2 linked regions of the Astyanax mexicanus genome follow. The protein of the gene in region 1 interacts with the protein of each later gene in a biochemical or structural test. Links are inferred from orthologs where the notes say so. Each region holds a gene or a part of one and is shown on either strand. Other genes may lie near its edges.

Region 1 (9,283 bases):
ACACAATAATAATGAAACACTAGTTTCTGGACTTCCATAGTTATATAGTGAGTTTCACTAGGCGCTATATCAGAAAGTTTAAGTGTTATGTTCTGTAACTCTTAATGTAGATTAAGTTCTGGACCGCTGAACATCTCAACCGAGGTGCCGGGCTGTTTTCACATGTTATGCAGTCATTTTTAGGCTATGCCATATTTTACCCTCTGAGGGAAACAGATAAGATTGAGTGTTATGTTCTGTAACCGCTAGTGTAGACTAAGTTCTGGACCGCTGAACACCCCGGTATCAGGCTGTTCTCACATGTTACGCCGTATCGTTGTGTAGCTTTAATGCCCATATCTCCTATCACTGAACTATTTACCCAAACCTGGTTTTGTTAGACAGAACCTAATCTTAGAATATGTGCTACTGATAATGGCTAACTGTTTATTTCCACCTAGTTGGTGTTCATAAATTGGAGTTAGATTAGTCTATTTTAGTATCTCACCTAAGTCTCATATAAAATACTGGAAAGACGGAATACGCATTAGGGGGAAAAGGCATAGGCCTGTTGTCTCCTCCCATACAACTCCAAAGGGTGATGTGGATCAGCACAAGACTGCATCTGTGAGCTGATGTATCAGAACCGAGTCGCTGTGCTTTCCGTGTCGAGCGTTAGTGCTATGATGCTACTCAGCAATGCTGCATCAGTAGCAGTTCAAAAATAGGTGGAGTCTGACTTCACATGTCACCTATTGTGTGGGTTGCGTAATAGGCCTTATAAACTGGGGAGAAAATCTGATAAAACATTTTAAAATATGTTTATTAACTATTTGTCAATGCAATAGCACAGAGTCTCTTACCTTAAGTAACTTAAATAAGGGACACGATTAATAATTCAGTAGTAAATAATTTCAATCAGAAATATATGTTTAGATTAGATTTAAGATGATTCACTTTAAACAGTTACTCTGTGATCTTAAAACTGTCCTGATCTTCAGAACACACTAGTACAAGAGTGTGTGTGAGAACACACCGCATTTTGAGGAAATTACCAATCTATGAGAGGAATAGGGAAACTTGCGTTGGTTTATGTGTGTGTGTGTGTGTGTGTGGGGTTTTAAAAATATTAATGAGGAATAGATGTGGGACTTTTGAGCACTGACCCCACCACACACACAAAAACCACACACACACACACACACACACACACACACAGGCACGGAAATGCACACCGATTTAAATTGACTTTGAATGCTTCTTCCTCTTCCTGCTCTCTCGCTCTTTCGCTCTCTCACTCTCTCAGTGCCACTTATAGACGTGTAATTTCCTGACTGATCTTCTGGTTCAGCAGCACATCTTTCTGAGTGTGAAAAGTGAGGCGGGTAGTATCTGCCCCTGCCCCTCGGGTCGTGCTTTTGTGATTTATCTGAAAGTCTGAGACTCACCTCTATCGTCTTCTTGTACTGAGAGACTTTGGTCTTATGAACCTTCTCCATGATTCCCTCAAACTGCAATAGAGAAAGGTTCATAATCAGAGCCCTGCCAGGCCTCAGTGTGGGCTGGTGAGACAGATAGAGGATGAAGGTCAGGATAAAACCCACTGTGTCTTTCTGCACGGACGCACCTTTTTCCGCTGCTCTTTCTGACGTTCTCTGAACTGCTCCATGCGCTTGACTTCTTCTTTTAACATCCCCGAGAGGTGGATGTGCAAGTTTCCGATGTTCTCGATTTCTGTTTGTAAATTAAACATCAGTGTCTGTGGTCCAGTTTAAGTGCATAAATTATAACTGATAAAACCAGCGGGACGTGCCGCCCTGCCACTTACGTGCTTTGAGTTGGTCAAACGAAGCCTTTAAAGTGCTGCAAGAAGAAATGAGGAACGTGTTACTAATATGGATGTGTCTCACATCCACATTCTTTCTGCTTATGTCCTAAGCCTGATTCTCAGTAGTGTGGATTAGTACCTTGTCAGGAGTGGAGCACTCTGTGCGGAGGAGTTAAAAGTTAACCACTTACCCTATTTCACTTTGGCCTCCAGCCTTTCGTGCAATAGCCACTAGCTCTTTGCCATACTTCTCTTCTGCCATCGCCCTGCAAAGAGCAGAAGCCCCTTCTCATCACATCATCACGTCTAAATGAGCTTCAAATCTTATTCAAATGGAAAGTAAATCAATTTAAAAGATCACCTCATCTTCAAGAGCTCCTCCATGTCTTTGCAGGCCCGCCGGCCATCGTAGAGCCTCTGGGTGAGGGCCTCGTACCCGGCGTTGCTAACAAAGTCTGGGCCCTAAGTGCCAGTGGAGGAAGTGTTATCTCTTCACCATCCAGATAAAGTGTTTTTCTCAGCTCATATAACCATAAATTATTTTTAATTAATAAGTTCACATTTAGAGGAAATTATAATCAGGAAAGGCTTGTTTAAACCAACACAGCAACAACGTGGTGTATTTCAGGCTAATTCACATCACAAGATCATCTTTCCATACTACTACCAGTGCGTCATGTCATGTTACTCATCCTGAATTCTGGAATTAAACCGTTGGTGGCTCAGCTCACAAATAGAATGCCACGTCTAGATTCTAGCTGTTCCACACATGCGGGATGATCTCGTTTAGACTCTTTACAGCCACACTTCTGTCCTATAAATCTAAAACTTTAGCAGAAGCAGATCCAGAATGTACTTTTTTAATCATGGGAACAGCTCGACCTCTGGAAGTGCATCAGGTAAAACAGGTTTATGAGGCGAGAGCTAGGATGCAAATGAACCCAGAAACGTTCCGTGCTGCTTTGAAGATTTGTTGTTTTATATATATGTATACATATATCGCTGAAGATCAAAGCCACATGTGTCATGCAGTTCCAGGGGAGAACAATTCTTGAAGAGAATCCGCAAAAAGAGTGGAAGTGGTTTACCCTGACAATGCCGACCTGATTACCGATCCCCCCCACGCTCTAAAAACTACAGAAACACCCATTACCTCCTGGCAGGGAACGCTATTCTCTGACCATTAAACTACGAGATATCTGCTTTAGTGTTTTATTTAGAATGGACAGTAAGAGTGGATTGTGTAGAATATATTATATAGATACATACATACATACATAAAAGAGGGGAGTATATACTTCTACCATACTTCTACACACAACGTAGAAGGTACTGCACTGTCCTGTCTTTAAATTGTCTCGTCTTTTGTATTTATTGTATTTATTGTTATTTAGTGTTATAATTTTATAATTTTATGTTGCACTGTCGTCACTCCTGCACTTTATGTTGTCTATTGCTTGTGGTTCTATGTTGCACCATGGTTCCGGAGGAACGTAATTTCATCACACTGTGTACCTGTACTCAGACGTAATGACAATAAAAGCCTCTTGACTTGACTTGACTTGACAACTCTCAGACTACCATTCTGCCAGTTTATGACAACACTCTACAGCCTAGAACGTGGAACATCCTTCTTTAAAACTGTACAAGAAACACAAGATGAACGTTACAGTTCAAAAAGGAACATTCATATCCAGATATACACCTGCCACACATGGACTTCAGCTGAAACATCAAACTTCTAAAACATCTTAACACATGATTACTTACCCAGAACGCATCTTTAAACTGTAACGGTGTCATCTCAGCCTCTGTAGCTCTGTTTACTCCAGCGCAAACTCCAGCGAAATGCAGTGAGTAAGTCAAATTTTCAGTTAAAAAAGGAACAACAGCAGTACACACAGGAAACCCAAGACCTCACAGCAGTTCACTTGTGCTGCCTGTGTTCGACTAGGATGAGGAAGAGCTTCTGCATTATGTCACTGACCACAGGCGCCCTGTAGATAACAGCCTGTTTTAGTCACCGTTCAAACGCTGGACATAATGAACCTCCTGAAATAGAAGATGCTAAATTGAACAGAAGGTTACACTATACAGTGAAGTAAATAATTATTGAATCTCTTGCTGATTTGAAGTTTCCAAACTGTAAAAGACATGAACAGTCTATAATTTTAAGGGAAGGTTAATTTTAACCGTGAGAAATAGAATATCAAAAATAAAATCCAAAAAAATATCAAATTGTATAAATTATATCAATTGATTTGCATTTTGCAGAGAGAAATAATAATTCAGTCTAGGGCTGCAGCTATTGATTATTTTAGTAATCAAGTACTGTACTGAAAAATCAATTTGATTTATTGAGAAATTGGATAAGACATATTTGTTTGCTTAAAGAGTAATTAAAAATACTCAAGAAAACAAGACATTTTACTTAATAATAAATGACCAATTGATTTCCTTTTTTAAAGTTATATTTTTAACTTCACAGCATACATTTCAAACAGCAAACACAAATAGAAATAAATAAAGAAATAATAATTATTTTTATAATTAGTACTTTAAAACAATTAAGTTAAATTTTTTTCAACAAGGATTTCTTGTAAGTATCAAAACTATAGGGAATAATCAATAAAAAGGCATAAACGTTTGCATTATGTTGTGTGTCTTAGCTTCTGAACAGCAGAGATGTCGCCAGTCCGTCTCACAGAGCCGGTATCATGTATTTATTTATAAACTCCTCAGGCTGAGTCGGTGCAGCATTAAAGTGTGTTGTTGTGGGAGACAAGAGCGAATACACGCTGTTCAGCCTAAATGCTCCATTATTATAGTCGTTTTTGCCTCGTAAGTTGTCGCTCTTTTCCCTCGCTGCTTTAAAACACTCTCTTCTCAACTAAAACCTCCGCCGCCTACTCCTTCTTCCTGTGCGCGGATGGCGTACCGCTAAGCACGTTGTCACATTAAAAGTGTGAATTAGTTGTAAGAAAATGAAAGAAATACAAAATGACTATCAATCAACATCAATCTGGGGTTCCATGCAAACTCTCACCTCGTGGAGTATACTTGATCATGAGGAAGGTGAAAGATCAGCCTAAAACTACACAAGGGGAAGTTCTTAATGATCTCAAGGCAGCTGGGACCCCAGTCACCAAGAAAACCTTTTGGTAAGACATTATGCTGTAATGGATTAAAGTTCTGCAGTGCTGCAAGGTCCTCCTGTCGAAGAAGGAACATGTGCAGAACCGTCTTTAGTTAGCCAATAAATACCTGGAGGATTCTGAGAGTGATTGGGAGAAGGTTCTGTGGTCAGATGGGACAAAAATCGAGCTTTTGGCCTACGGCCGCATGCCTACGACTGCAGCACAGTAGTGCCAATATTACACATTATAGCACTCCATCTCATGTATTATTGCTGATGTATAATTATGTTTAGTATGTCACTGAAACTTTTTTTAAGGGTAGCAGTGTGGCTGTGCTACGTACGGACATGGATAGTGTGAAACAAAAACTGAAATGGAGCATGGCCGCTCCACATGCTCAGATGATATCACTACTCTGCAAACAACCGTGCACAGGCTTAGCAAACATGTAGCTGCTCTGCGGGAGAAACGAGTCGACCTGAAGGGACGAATGAGGAGCACGAATATTCTAACTCTGAATGTGGAGGAGATGTCTGGATCGAGTTTTACCACCGTCTGCAACCGAGGCAGCAGGGGGGGCAAGCCTTGTGCTATTGTGGCCAAACTTCACTATTATCAGGACTGTGTGGACACTCTTCTGAGCAGGAAGGCCAGGTCTCTGTAGTATAATGACATTTTCATTCCCCGATTGCCCACCCAGTGTAGCCTGCGCCAGTTCAGCATTTAACAATGTTAAAAACATCCTCCGCAGGCAGAAAAATACTCGTTTCTGCATTTTTTATCCAGCCAGGCATGCATATGCATAAAAAACATGATGGGACTGAAAAAGTCCCAAAATATGGAGGCAGAAAAGTGACATAAGCATAAATAAATAAATGGAAGTATAAATGAATAAATAAATATATAAATACATAATTGTATAGATAAATACATTAAAAGTACACACTTAAAATATTTCCATGCATAAACCTTTATTTAGGGCTGTTTCTGCATTTATTTATATATTTATTGATAAATATATTGCTACATTTATTTACTTCCATGACCCTCATTATCTGATGATATTTAAACTCCTTCTGTTAGGTTTATAAAGGGTAAAGGATGGTTTAGTTCAGATCAGTAAACAAACTCATTAACTGATCTGGTGTGAAAACACCCTAAAAGAGGGGTACGTGTCTAGTTGCATCCATGCACAAAGCCAAAGCATGCGTGCGTTTCTCTAATTCTCAGACAACAGAATTCTTAAATCTGCTATATTAATCTGTAAGAAATTGTGGTTGCCTTTGCTGAAGTGAAAGTTCACAAACAGCAGTTGTAGATATTTGGCACATAAAGGCCTAATTCTTATATGTGTGTACTCTTATTTATGTTGGATTTAAAATTTATGTTAAATATAAGTTGTGTGCTTTTTTTTGTATAGGACGGGAGTGTTTGTTACGCCCCTGAGAGAGGGGATAGTGGAAAATACCAAATTTAATGAACACAGGACACACTGATGAGTGTTCAAAGCAGCATAACTTTAGTATGATGCAATCTCAGCATGTGCTCTCTGTTCCCCTCACTCAGTCCAAACTAGACACGCCCCTAGCACAGGCTCAACCAACTGGTGTACACAGTAATAACCCAATAACTTGAAATACAGTGACTAGTAATAATATCAAAACAACACAGAACTATTTTCCTTTTTCTCTATATATTTTCTTTTCTTTTTTACATATATATATTTATATAGATATTTTTTATCTCCCTTTTTTCAGTATATCACACACTCCCCACCAATATAGATGTCGTCCCGACATCACAAAGAATGTGTTTGCACATTACATTTTTTTTCAACCATTTTTTTGTATATAGCCAACAGTCAAACTCCTTTCTGTTCTTTTAGGTAAGTCTCTACTGCAGAAAGGAAATGTATTTCTATTTATCAGTGTCCACTAACATGAACAGTGTCTTCTTTTTCCTTTTTTTTTCCATTCTGCAAATTTGTGTGCTCTGCTTTTTCACAGTCCATGCGTGTTGCAAGCATATGTGCGCATGTGAGAGGGAAAGTCTGTTTATCTTATGTTCATGTCCATTGGGTAAGTGTACTCAACTGCTCTGTCTATCCACAGTCCATGAGTGTTGTGAGCATAGGTGTGTGTGTGTGTGTGTGGAAGTCCTTTTAGTTCATGTCCATATTCATCAGGTACTCTGCTTATCCACAGTCCATAAGTGTTGTGAGCAGGGGTGTATGTGTCAGTTCAGTTTCTTTTTAGTTTGTGTCCATCGTATGTGTACATGACCAATCTGTTTTATCACAGTTCATGGTATGTTTCAAATGTATAAGTGTGAAAGTTCTTTCAGGTGTTGTCCATCCCTAGTAGGTATATGTAAACAACTCTGTTCACAGTCTATGAATGTTGTGAACATATTTGTATGCGTGAAAGAACAGAGGTGAACAGTCCATCAACATTCCCAGGATGTCTTTTACTCAGTTCCTATGCAAATGCATTGAACAGTAATGCCCAGGGGGAAAGTAAAATTGTGTAGGGTCCATCCATGTTTGTCTTGTATGTTCCACATCCCAAGGCCAAGGAAAATGCCTGTGAGTGTCACTTTCTGAAAGAGAAGCTAGATAGCATACTGGGGTACCAAGCTGGTCATAGGTGAATAACTTTGGTGCTCGCTTCTCTCTGTTGGGTCGTTGATACTTGTACTTTGCCTTCGTTTCATCATCAATGCTGTCAGCAGCAGTACACGGAGGGAGTGATTCGCTTCTCTCAAAGAAATTATCCTGTTCAACTGTTTGTCTCCCTTGAGCAGACATCTCTGGCTGAATGTCCTGATCCAGAGCACAGTTCCTATCGTGGGCCTCACTTTGCTGGGGCACATTTTCCAATCCAAGAACTTGATTCTCAGTTTGTACAGCTGGCTCTTGAGCTTTTGTCTGAATATCACGTCCAGTGTTGCAACTGTATTGAGGCTGTGGCACAGTTATGCAGTGGTATTCATAGTCATCCTCATCACTGTCAGTCCCTGCTTGAATGTTCTCTTCTCTTTCTGGGTTTTTTTTCGTTCTCTTCTTTGTTTTTTTGAGTTTGCCGTCTTGAGTTGGACCTCTAGTGGTAAGTAATCCGGTGTAGGATTCTGCTTCCTCTTCCTAGCTCCGGAACAACTTCATAGATGGGAATATCTTTATTTACTTGCCATACAACTTTGTGAATTTGTTCCTCCCAATGATTTCGAAGTTTGCCTGTCCCACCTCGGGGTGTCATGTTTCTCACAAGAACACGATCGCCTTCTTGCAACACAGAACTCCTGACTTTCTTATTGTAATTCCGGTTTCCTCTTTCGGCAGACTTCTTGGCGTTCTCTCTTGAAATCTCATATGCCTCCTGCATTCCAGATTTCCATTGCTTTACATATTCCTGATGATCACCTGTTCCACTCTCTGGAGTTAGGCGGAACAAAAGATCAACTGGCAGTCTCGGAGGCCGTCCATAAAGAAGATAAAAGGGAGAAAACCCAGTGACTTTGCTGCGAGTGCAGTTGTAAGCATAAATGAGCTTGTTTAGCGAATCCTTCCAATTGGATTTTTCTCTCTCAGTCAGTGTTTTCAACATCTGGAGGAGAGTTCTATTAAAATGCTCCACCTGACCATTCCCTTGGGGGTGGTACGGTGTACTTCTAGAGCCAATAACACCACAGTTTTTCTTCAACTGTGCGAAAAGTTGGTTTTCGAATTCACCTCCCTGGCCATGATGTATCCTCATGGGAAATCCGAACTTCAATGCATAGTCACCGAATATCTTGTCAGCTACAGTTTTAGCAGATTTTGATGTCGTAGCATATGCCTGAACAAAACGTGTGAAATGGTCAATTACTACCAGGATATACTCGTATCCACCTGAGCTTCTGTCTACATGAAGAAAATCTATTGAGACCAGTTCAAAAGGCTGTGACGTAACAATGTTTGTGAGAGGAGCTCTAGTTTCTCGACTTGGTTTCTTCTGCTTCAAACACACACAAGAATAGGAAACATAGTGCTCAACATCCTTCTGCAGGTTAGGCCAGAAGAACCTATCTCTGATTAATGACACTGTCCGGTCCACTCCCTGATGACCCATTTCATCATGCAATTCTCTCAGGACCATCTCTTTGTATTTCTCTGGTAAGATCAACTGTTTTCTTGTGGCTGTCTTTCGGTATAAAAGGCCATTTTCATCAAAGATCAATCGATCCCATTCACGGAGCAGCCATTTGCTTTTTATACCCAGCTTTCCCAACTGGTGACCAGTAGGGCGAGCATTTGAGCCAGGAATTCTAGCTTCCCTGAATGAAGATGGTAGTTTTCTCTGGT
Region 2 (9,720 bases), on another chromosome or scaffold:
GGACAGAAGCACGAGGCAGACGCTACACTCTGGAGGGTCCAGGTAGGCGACGTAAGTGTAGAAGTAGCAGTCTGGATTAAAACGAGGAAGGCAGACCGGGGTCCAAATTTCACCCGTCTGGAAGGACGTGGAAGCTCGAATGAGGTTCAGAAGCAGGTGCAGATCACTCGGCTTCAGCCTGGCGTCTTCTATGACCATTTTCTCCTGGACAATGGAGAGGAGCTGACCCTTAGTGACCAGGAGAGACAGGACAAGATTAGGAGTGACTGCTTTCTGCAGGACCTGGTTGAGAACGTCTCTGGAAGACGAAGCCAAAGGCAGGCACTGCACAGCCGAGAGCAGGAAACCAGCCTCAGACTCCATTACATCCAGGAGACCATCTATAACCTTCTCCGAGCCGAACAGCAGCCGGCGGAGGTCGTAGTTCTTCCTGCGCTGGAAAATGCGATTGATGCTGGCCTGGGTGAGCATGCTGACGATCTGATGGTAAACATGCAGGAGCTCAGAGCGAAGCTGCAGCTCAGACTGTCGACTCTTTGATGCGGAAACCAGAACCAGAGGTCCTTTCTGCATAAAGACAATCGTGTGCCCATCTGAAAGAGAGTGATACAAAATCTAGTAACACTTTATTCAGGTGCCTGAATAGAGGCTTTATAATCAATTTATGAGCATTAAATAATGTATTTAGAAATAATAATTTGAATATTTAAATATATTTTATATTTATGAACAGTTTTTACCATCACAATATGACATTGTTGTCAGTACAAGACGAGTTTTTTATTGTTTTTCTTTTCCTTGGCTGGTAACTCTTGAACTTATAAATGAACTTATTCTGTGCAACAGAGGTAACTTTTGGTCTTCCTTTCTTGGAGCGGTCCTGATGAGAGCCAGTTTCATCACAAAGTATTTGATGACTGTCTTTAGGACTGCACTTGAGGAAAATTTAGGATCATTTTTTTCTGAATTTTGCCTGATAACATTCATAGTTAAGTCCCATATTTTTCAGACTATAACACGCACCTTAAAGTCCTTTAAGTCTTTACATTTTCTCCAAAATCATCAATGTGCCTTATTTATAAATTCTACCAGTCAGGTTTTAATTAAGGCGCAGTAAAGCCACTCTACTGAAGTACAGCGTTACTTGGGTAAATTTTCAGTGAAGTTTCTCCAGCACTAAGGCTGAGAGCACCCTGCATTAGCATTAGCCGCTAACCGCAGCAGTGCTAGATCTTTCACCGTCCAGAGGTGAGTATATTGGACTGTAGTCTGCATGTTTACCATGTTAAAACAAGCTACGTGGGACAAACCACTAGTTGATAGCACCCTGGGTTACCTGAACACTTAGGGTTCCTCAGCTTAGCACGGTCGGGTGGCATTCATGTCCCGCTAGCACTGTGGTTAGCGGCTAATGCTAATGCTAATGCTGCTGCACCCAGCCTTAGTGCTGGGGAAACTATTGGAAATCTAAGCTTACAGTAAAGAACAAGATTCTAACAAACTCTTTTTAATACCTATGAATTTAGAAGAAACAGTGAATAAGTAGGTGTCCAATATTTGTTCATATAAATCTGGAGATATTGTAGGATAGGGAAATGAAGCAATTTGACAGAGACCTTCCTGGGAAAATGTAGCTGTGTGTGGGTGAACATTATCCTACTGATATCCTATTCTCGTGTATCACTACTAGGTGTTGACACGTTGTATACAATGTCACTCCAGATAAGGCGGGTTTAAATCACTCACCACAAGGCCAGATGTGGTGTTCAATTGTGTGCCTTTAGTTAAACATTAGGGTGACTTGAGTAATCATCTTAATGAGATTTGTTTATGTGGTTTCTACACAAGGCTTGCATCACTCTATATCTACATTAGCCTCATAGCTCATAGGGTAATAGGAACATATTGTGTAAATGTGCCACATTATTGCTTTGAATGACCACCAGTGGTCTACAGTTCATAATACCAGCTTCTTCTTTTATTCAATATTGTATTCTCCAGTGTCTTTTGGTTTTGCATTGGTGGAAAAGCATTGTATGTGCCTTAGCTACGATGCTACATTAGCGGAGTGGCTGGCGGGTTTTGTTATTCTAAACATACACACCTACCTATTTCAATTGTACTTGGCTGGTGGTGTTTTTTCCTCCATAGACAAATTCTAACCATTTGTTCCTTAGCTCTGCATTACTGGGTAAAGCATATAAACACTGATGTGTTATTCGCACAAATAACCCAGCAACAAACTGCCGAACTGCTGTTCTTAGCGCTGTTAGCTCCTATCTGACGAGGCAGTGCCTCTGCCTGGCTTCAGCTCTGTCTGTGGGCGGTCCCGAGCCAAGGTGGGTGTGGCCATGAATACTAATTAACATATTTTCAGAGTATTTTCTTTTCATGTGCAGCATCATATACAACTCAGAGAGACCTAATGTATTTCACAAAGAACCAGAAAAAGTGGATTTTAGAGTGGATTTTAGCTGAAGGACACCTTAAAAAAGGTGCAAAATATCGTAATATATTAAATTGTATCGCCAATAATACACAGTACTAGTACATACATTTTTTTTTGTATTTTCCATGCATCCTCAAACTTTTTTATGATTTGTGGTATATATAAAACATAAAAAGTTAATAACCCCTTTAATAACATCTCACCTGAGTAAATGGACTGAATGGTGTTTCCTCCAACCTGGACAAAAGACACCAGCGCCATCATGACCCCCATCACTGAAGACAGGGCCTCCTCGCTGCCATGGCGAGAGTAGATGGGCTTCCCTGCTTCGCTCAGCACAAACACATGCTTCCTGCGGCTCCTCCAGCCGTCCGTCATCACCTCCTCATTCTGACTGGTCTGGATTTGGGAAGCTGAGGAGCAGTCGCTCCCGAGACTTGAGGAACTCTCGCTCTGCTTCAGTTCCGTTCCAGATAAAAGCACTGTAAAATCACTAGATTCCTCCAGAGAGGTGTTTTCAGGTAGACCCCCATCAGTTCCCGCACTGTCTCTCTTCAACATGCTGTCCGATTCTCACTTCCCTCCAAACTTCTGCTTTTTTCTACTGTGGAAATGATGTCCCTCTTCCTAAGGAACACTTCTTCCATTGGTGACGGACAATGGATCCCTGTGAGGAGCGCTACAGGTTAATCAGGGATTCCAGGAGGGGTCAGATGTGTTTTATAGACCGTGAATAACGTCCACAGTGCTCAGAGTGCTGCTGGAGATAATAAGATCTATAGTGGTATGTCATCATCAAGGTTTCATCAAAGGCTCTTTTGAAGTTTAGAAACTAGCCCTTTTTATCTGGGTTATCTTAATACAGTATATTATAATCAAGTTTCTCCCATGATGTTATTATTATACTTTTATTATGTTTATATATATTTTACTGTCAGAAACTTTAGTGTTAAATCAGGACAAATATACACTATATTTAGATATGATGTTATACAATATTGTTCTTTTTTATGACACCGAATAAACTGACGCTGGAAAAAACACCATAGACACCTAAGCAACCACCCTAAAAACTGCTATTTAAGACCCTAGCGGCAACAGAACACCCATTCAACAATGCATTACTGACATACTACAGTAGCCCCTTATCAACCACCTGGAACACTGTTGCAACCACCCTGAAAACCACTAACTAAAACCTAGCGGCACCAGAACACCCATTCAGCAATGCATTAGGAACCACCTGACATAATAACACAGCATATTAGCAACCACCTGATCCCCCATTCTGCAACACCTTATCAACCACCTGACATATTGTTAAAACATATTAGTTACCACCTTAGCAGCCATTCTGCAACACTGCAACCTCAGTAACCACCTGAAATACTATAGCAACCGACAAAGCAACCACTGAGAATTAGTTTAGCTACAAAAGAGCATGCATACAGCAACACCCTAGCAACCACCTGGGACAGCAATAACAGTAAAAATGTTTCCAATAGACACATTAACAGTTATAATGCTTAGGTATAATATTTAATTTGTAGTAACTTTACTTTTAAAGTTATTACAGGTTATTAAATAATCATAATAGCTCAGAAAGCAAGAAAGATAATCTAAAAAAAATTGTACTCATGCTGATGATGATGATATGGTGCAGGCAGTCAGGAGACTCGTCCACAGTGTGTTTATTGTGAGTAGAAAGAATGTGCTCAGAACAGCAGTGAATGAAGAACTTCTTGACTGTTCACAATAAAAGTCCCTCCCTAATATTCCCAGCTCAATACTGGGGGGCTTTATACCCCACCTAAACCCCAATAGCTGAGAGCCTAAAGAATGGTCCGGTTTAATACATGCATAATAAAAACTGATATAAGACATAGATAAGATGATAAATAACATTTATCATTGCTATACATATTATTTTCTAAATCCTTGAATGCAAAATACGAAATATTGGATGTAAAATCCCATTATATATATCTTTCCAATTTAAAATGATGAAGAACTAGTTTTGGTATCATTTTTTAAATTTATTTACTTTTGCAAACAGAATCTCAGGGAAAAATTAAACTTTTCTTGATTTTCAATTTTTTGCATTTTGTTAAAAAAAAAAAAATTAGACTATACCATCAGGCATATGTTACATTAAAAATAAAAAGGTTTTTGGGAAAAATAAATGTTTTGTTCATTTTTGCTGAACCTGGCAACCTGGGCATGCTGAATCCCATAAAAATCTCTAAAAAAAAAAAAAAAAAAAAAAACTCTGCTTAAATTAATCCTCTCTTAATTTTCATATTTCTTCATTATTGCATCTTGTTAAAAAAGCAAATTGGATTTTACAATCATAGCAAATCAATATGCAAAATACAATATGCAAAAATGAAAAAAATCTGAAAATTAATATATATTAATGAAATAAAATTTTCCTGAAATTCTGTTTACAAAAGGCAACATTTTTTTAAATGATAAAATAAACTATTCGTTCTGAACATAAGAAAGTTGAGTGGTGTATGGTAATATATATATATATATATATATATATATATATATATATATATATTGTCTTTTCATTCTTCTTAAAAAGTAAATTGGATTATGCCATCGTAACAAATCAATATGCAAAAAAATTTCATTTTATATATTAAAAAAATAAAAAAATAACCATGAAAGATGGATAAAAAAATTTAATCACTATTTTAATTGATAAAAAAAACTATTTGTTCTAAAAATCAGAAAATCGAAAGATTTATGGTAAAATGTTTTGTTTCGTGCTGTCTTCTCATTCTGGAGAGCATTTACGCAAAATGTATATTTTTGATGGACCTGGCAACCTTGACTCGCGCTGATTCGCGCAGCTGTAGTGCACTAGTTAGTGCAGAAGTGCGCGTGTTGGAGCGCAGACCGGGTTTAATGAGAGCGTGAGAGAGGGATCAGTTCTGCTCGCGGTGGATCAGGTGCTTCGGTCTGAGCTGGAGATCATGACCCGGACCCGGGTCCGCTCAGCACGGCTCTGGACTCGGGTTTAACCCGATGAAGAGGATTTAAAGCGGAATATCGACCTGCGGAGCGATGGAAGATCACCTGCTGAAGTTCATCCAGCGGGTCAGGTTCCTGTCTGAGAGCGGCTGCGATGGGGACAATGAGATCACTGCTGAGTACACCGTGAGTACCACCTGAGTACACCCGCTAAACCTGCAGCTGGAAACTGGGATTAAATTCATATAATAAACTAGCTACTAATATAGAGATTATACTGAGAAGTTATTGAGAGATTTCACTAAACATACATTTATTATGTTTCATTCCCAGATAGCAAATATATATTGATCAGTTTGAGGCTACATTTAATTAAAATTAAAATTAAAAGTTGAGTGCAAAAGTTCAATACTTATTTTTAGGTATTTAAATATTTAAATTGTTGAGGAAAAAGTTGTACATCCATATATTTAGCAATTTTTAGTGTTTTCTTCTGCCTTTCTCAAACAGGATTTTATATAAAAATGTCAGATTTAATTTCATTTTTGCATATTGTAAAAAAAATGATAGTGAAATCCAATATACTTTTGTAAAAAAGATGAAAAAAATCAATTTTCCTAAAATCCTGTTTTTAAAGTGTATAAAATGTACACAAACATTTTGTTCATCATTATTTTTAAATGAAAAAAAACATATATACACTGGAAACCTACTGAACACATAAGCACTATGCGTTCATTTGAACTGCATAGGATTAAATTAATATTAATATATCTACCTATATAAAGATTATACTTAGTTACGTCATTGAGAAATTTCATTATACACTACTTCATTATGTCTTTTTGTTATATATAGTTGGAAAATGGGCTGTTACACCGTTTTAGTTACTTTTTTTGTAACTGAAGGGGAAAAAAAGCATTTTTAATGTAGCTAATATTGTTATTTGCTGCATTTGCATCATGTATTCATTTAGGCTATTTAAATAGTTTTAATAAATTTTTATTACTCTTAAATTGTGCAGTTGCATGATTATGCTCTTATAGTATTATTGTAAAGTGGACATGAAACATTTCAGTTTGTACAAGTTTTCTAAGGGATTGAATAAAATGGAATTTATTTTATTGAATGTAATTTTTTTTTTATAAAATGTTTACACACTAAATTAAATCATACTATATTTATGTTTGTTATGTTTGCGCTAGGGCTCCGCCATCTTGCCCGTGCAGCACTGGTGACGTCACGAGGTTGGTTGGTTGGTTGGTTGGTTGAAGAGTCCAGGTACATACAGTAGCTAGCGGTCAGGGTTAGGGAAAAGAGCTTGTTGTTTGTGGAGATTATGAATGAAGACAAAGCTGAACTAGGCTAACGTGGAGCATAGTTAGCGTTAGCTAGTTAGCTAACGTTAGTTACCTCTCGCTGCTCTGCTGGGTGAGCGCGTCGTTTGGCTCGTTTCTTGCGGCTCACAGCTGCTACTTTATAGTAAGGTTACCCTCAGTCAGGTGGTCTGTACATCCCAGCTGTTCAGAGGAAAAAAAATTAAAAATGGAGGTAAAAAGCCTCGGACTTTAGCTTATTTGTCTGGCGAATGACAAACTTCTGACTCAAAACCCTTTCCTCCACATAACAGTCCTCGTCTAGAAAGTGCTCGGAGTCGCTACTAACCCCTAGCATTGCTGCTAACCGGAGGATTCTTGCGCTTCAGGACCGCTAGGCGCCGTTAGCCACCGCCGAAAAACAGCTGTCCGCTTAAGAGACGAGATATGAAAGTGAAAGTGAATCTCTTTCTCACTCTTTAACCTATAACATTTTACTACAACAGAAGTGAGCTAAGTTCCCGAAGGCTAATAGTTTATGTTAGTGAGGCGTCCGAGAACCAACCTCGTGACGTCACTTTCAGCGCTGGGACAAGAGGGCACTACACTTACTTAAAAAATGAGATTTAGATTGCTTTTTATTTTAATTCAGCTTCATTGACAACTGTTAAACTTATACTATTTGTTAGAGTGAAAATACATCTTGTGAATTATATTAAATACTTGAAGTGTTTCATGTCCACATTAAATATAGCATTAAATGCTCATAAATTTACAATAATATAATTTTTGTGCAGTCTGTTGTGCAGTCTATTTCACACTGATTTACAATGATTGATATAACTTGAAACCCCTTGCACTTACACTGTAAGTTGTGTGTGAGGAAGCTGCTGTATGTGCTGTGTACTCAGGTAACACTTTTTGGTTCCCATTCTTGGTCTGGATTCAATTTCATTTTGTTCGGCTTTGTTGACATTGTATTTAAAACCAAAATCATCTATAGAAATAAAACTCAAGGTTCAGTGCTGGGAGATACTGGAGGAAGTAAGATGCTCCATTAGTATTTAAAATGGATGGATGGATGGATGGATGGATGGATGGATGGATGGATAATCGGCCACAATATTCTGTATATTTTAGTGGAAGAAAACACAGGTGCGCCACTGACTGATTAAAACACTGACACGAACACACACATACACGGACACACTGCAGAGCACAAACCGGACCCCTGTTTAACAATAAACAGTATAAAGAATAAAATAACATTGCTGTTCCCTTAAATGAGCTGCTGGCGTATTTTCCCAGGTCAGTATCTGTCTCTGCTGAGACGTGCAAAAACGTCGCACTGTTAAGATTTAACTTTCCCAATATCGTGCAGCCCTACCCTAGCCGAGTCTCAAATGTGCTCCACCAAACAGTTAAGCAGAAGTTGAAGTTAAAGCAGAATGCTTTCTAAGGTTTATAACCTAACTGTACGTCTTTATCTGAACTAAAGTTCAAAAGTAGGAAACTGCGACGTGAAAAAAACTCTTAGTCTAGTGAAAAAAAAAACATTAGCTGTGACTTTTACAGTCTTTTTCAGATCTTCTCCGGTGCGTTGACTGGGGGTAAATGAGGGTACAGCTTCATGTCCTGGTTCCTTATTGAGCCCATAAAAGAATCAGTCGATTATTAACTCAGGGTGATGCTCTGAGACAGACATTACTGTATTAAACTCTGTATGAAGAGAATGAAGGCAGTGCTGCTTAGTGTTGCACTGAGTAAACCATCACCTCAGAACATTTGAATATGTTAACACTGAGTCATGCCAAAAAAAAAGGCCTTCTTTTTTCACGTGAGAGGGACATTTGCATGCACACACAGATCAGAGTGAGAGGGTTATCCATTCATTGGCCTGAATGACTTCCTTTAAAGCTTTCTGACAGCTGTCCAAATATGAAAATAATTTGTCTAAAAATGCAAATGTTGTATTTGTTACCATTACTGTTGTATTTATTTATGTATTTTTCCTATACAGACAAAATTGTCGTCAGTTGTTTGGACTTTCTTGACTTTTTGGACTATATGCCCATCTATCTGTCTGTCTATCTGTCTGTCTATCTGTCTGTCTGTCTGCCTATCTATCTATCTATCTATCTATCTATCTGTCTGTCTGTCTGTCTGTCTGTCTGTCTGTCTGTCTGTCTGTCTGTCTGTCTGTCTGTCTGTCTGCCCTCTTGCAGCATTAACAGCAAGCTGATTGGCTCTGTGCTGAAAGGTGTGAGTAAGGGGTGGGCGATATGGCCCTAAAATAATATCACAATATTTCATAGTATTTTTTTCGTGATAATGATATTCTTGGCGATATGACAGAACAGTAAAAAAGTTAAAGAAAATTTTTCAAAGAAAAAAAAAATTAATTAAATTTTACTATTGTATTATTGCATACAATATGAAATAATATGGCACACCCCTAACTGAGATTAAAAAAAATACAAAACAATAATTTTATCAGATTTGTAACAGAAGTCCATAATACTAATAATATATCTCCATATATCCAGAATTAAAGTAAAATAAATGATACTGATGGGAAATGAAAACAGTGTGATTTTTTTTTTTTTTTGCTAAAAACAGTAGAAAAGTAGTAGTAGTACCCTGATGTGATGACTAGGGGTGGGTGATATGATGGGTGGCACGATATTTCAGGGTATAATATTGTTCACGATATTCAAAAATGTTGGGTCACAGGCACTCAGATTTGCCATTTCAAAAACGCTCAAAACGCTCAAAAGAGCTTTAAATTCGTCGCTTAACTCAAAAATTGACAGAATAAAGAATAAAACAACATTGCTGTTCCCTTAAATGAGCTGCTGAAGGTCAGTATCCTCTGCTGAGACGCACAAAAGCGCCATTAAAAATCACATAAAATGTGATTGTGACGTCCCTATCTAGCGCTATGATAAATTATTGTAAAAGTAAATGAGCTAA

Evidence for each region.
Region 2: the proteins of pstpip1a (region 1) and ptpn18 form a complex in vitro, tested with the Homo sapiens proteins (2 studies listed by BioGRID and IntAct). The link is inferred for Astyanax mexicanus from reciprocal best matches to the Homo sapiens genes PSTPIP1 and PTPN18.

Annotation. Positions count from the first base shown.
Region 1 is NW_026040047.1:1,865,997-1,875,279, reverse strand, and holds the start of pstpip1a (proline-serine-threonine phosphatase-interacting protein 1a), read right to left. Parts: upstream 4,076-9,283; 5' UTR 3,611-4,075; coding exon 3,578-3,610; intron 2,270-3,577; coding exon 2,169-2,269; intron 2,074-2,168; coding exon 1,999-2,073; intron 1,843-1,998; coding exon 1,808-1,842; intron 1,714-1,807; coding exon 1,607-1,713; intron 1,491-1,606; coding exon 1,428-1,490; intron 1-1,427. UniProt on the Homo sapiens protein: Involved in regulation of the actin cytoskeleton. May regulate WAS actin-bundling activity. Bridges the interaction between ABL1 and PTPN18 leading to ABL1 dephosphorylation.
Region 2 is NC_064419.1:3,031,501-3,041,220, forward strand, and holds the start of ptpn18 (tyrosine-protein phosphatase non-receptor type 18), read left to right. Parts: upstream 1-5,342; 5' UTR 5,343-5,524; coding exon 5,525-5,617; intron 5,618-9,720. Other genes in the region: mon1ba (vacuolar fusion protein MON1 homolog B), read right to left, coding at 1-593, 2,653-3,010. UniProt on the Homo sapiens protein: Differentially dephosphorylate autophosphorylated tyrosine kinases which are known to be overexpressed in tumor tissues.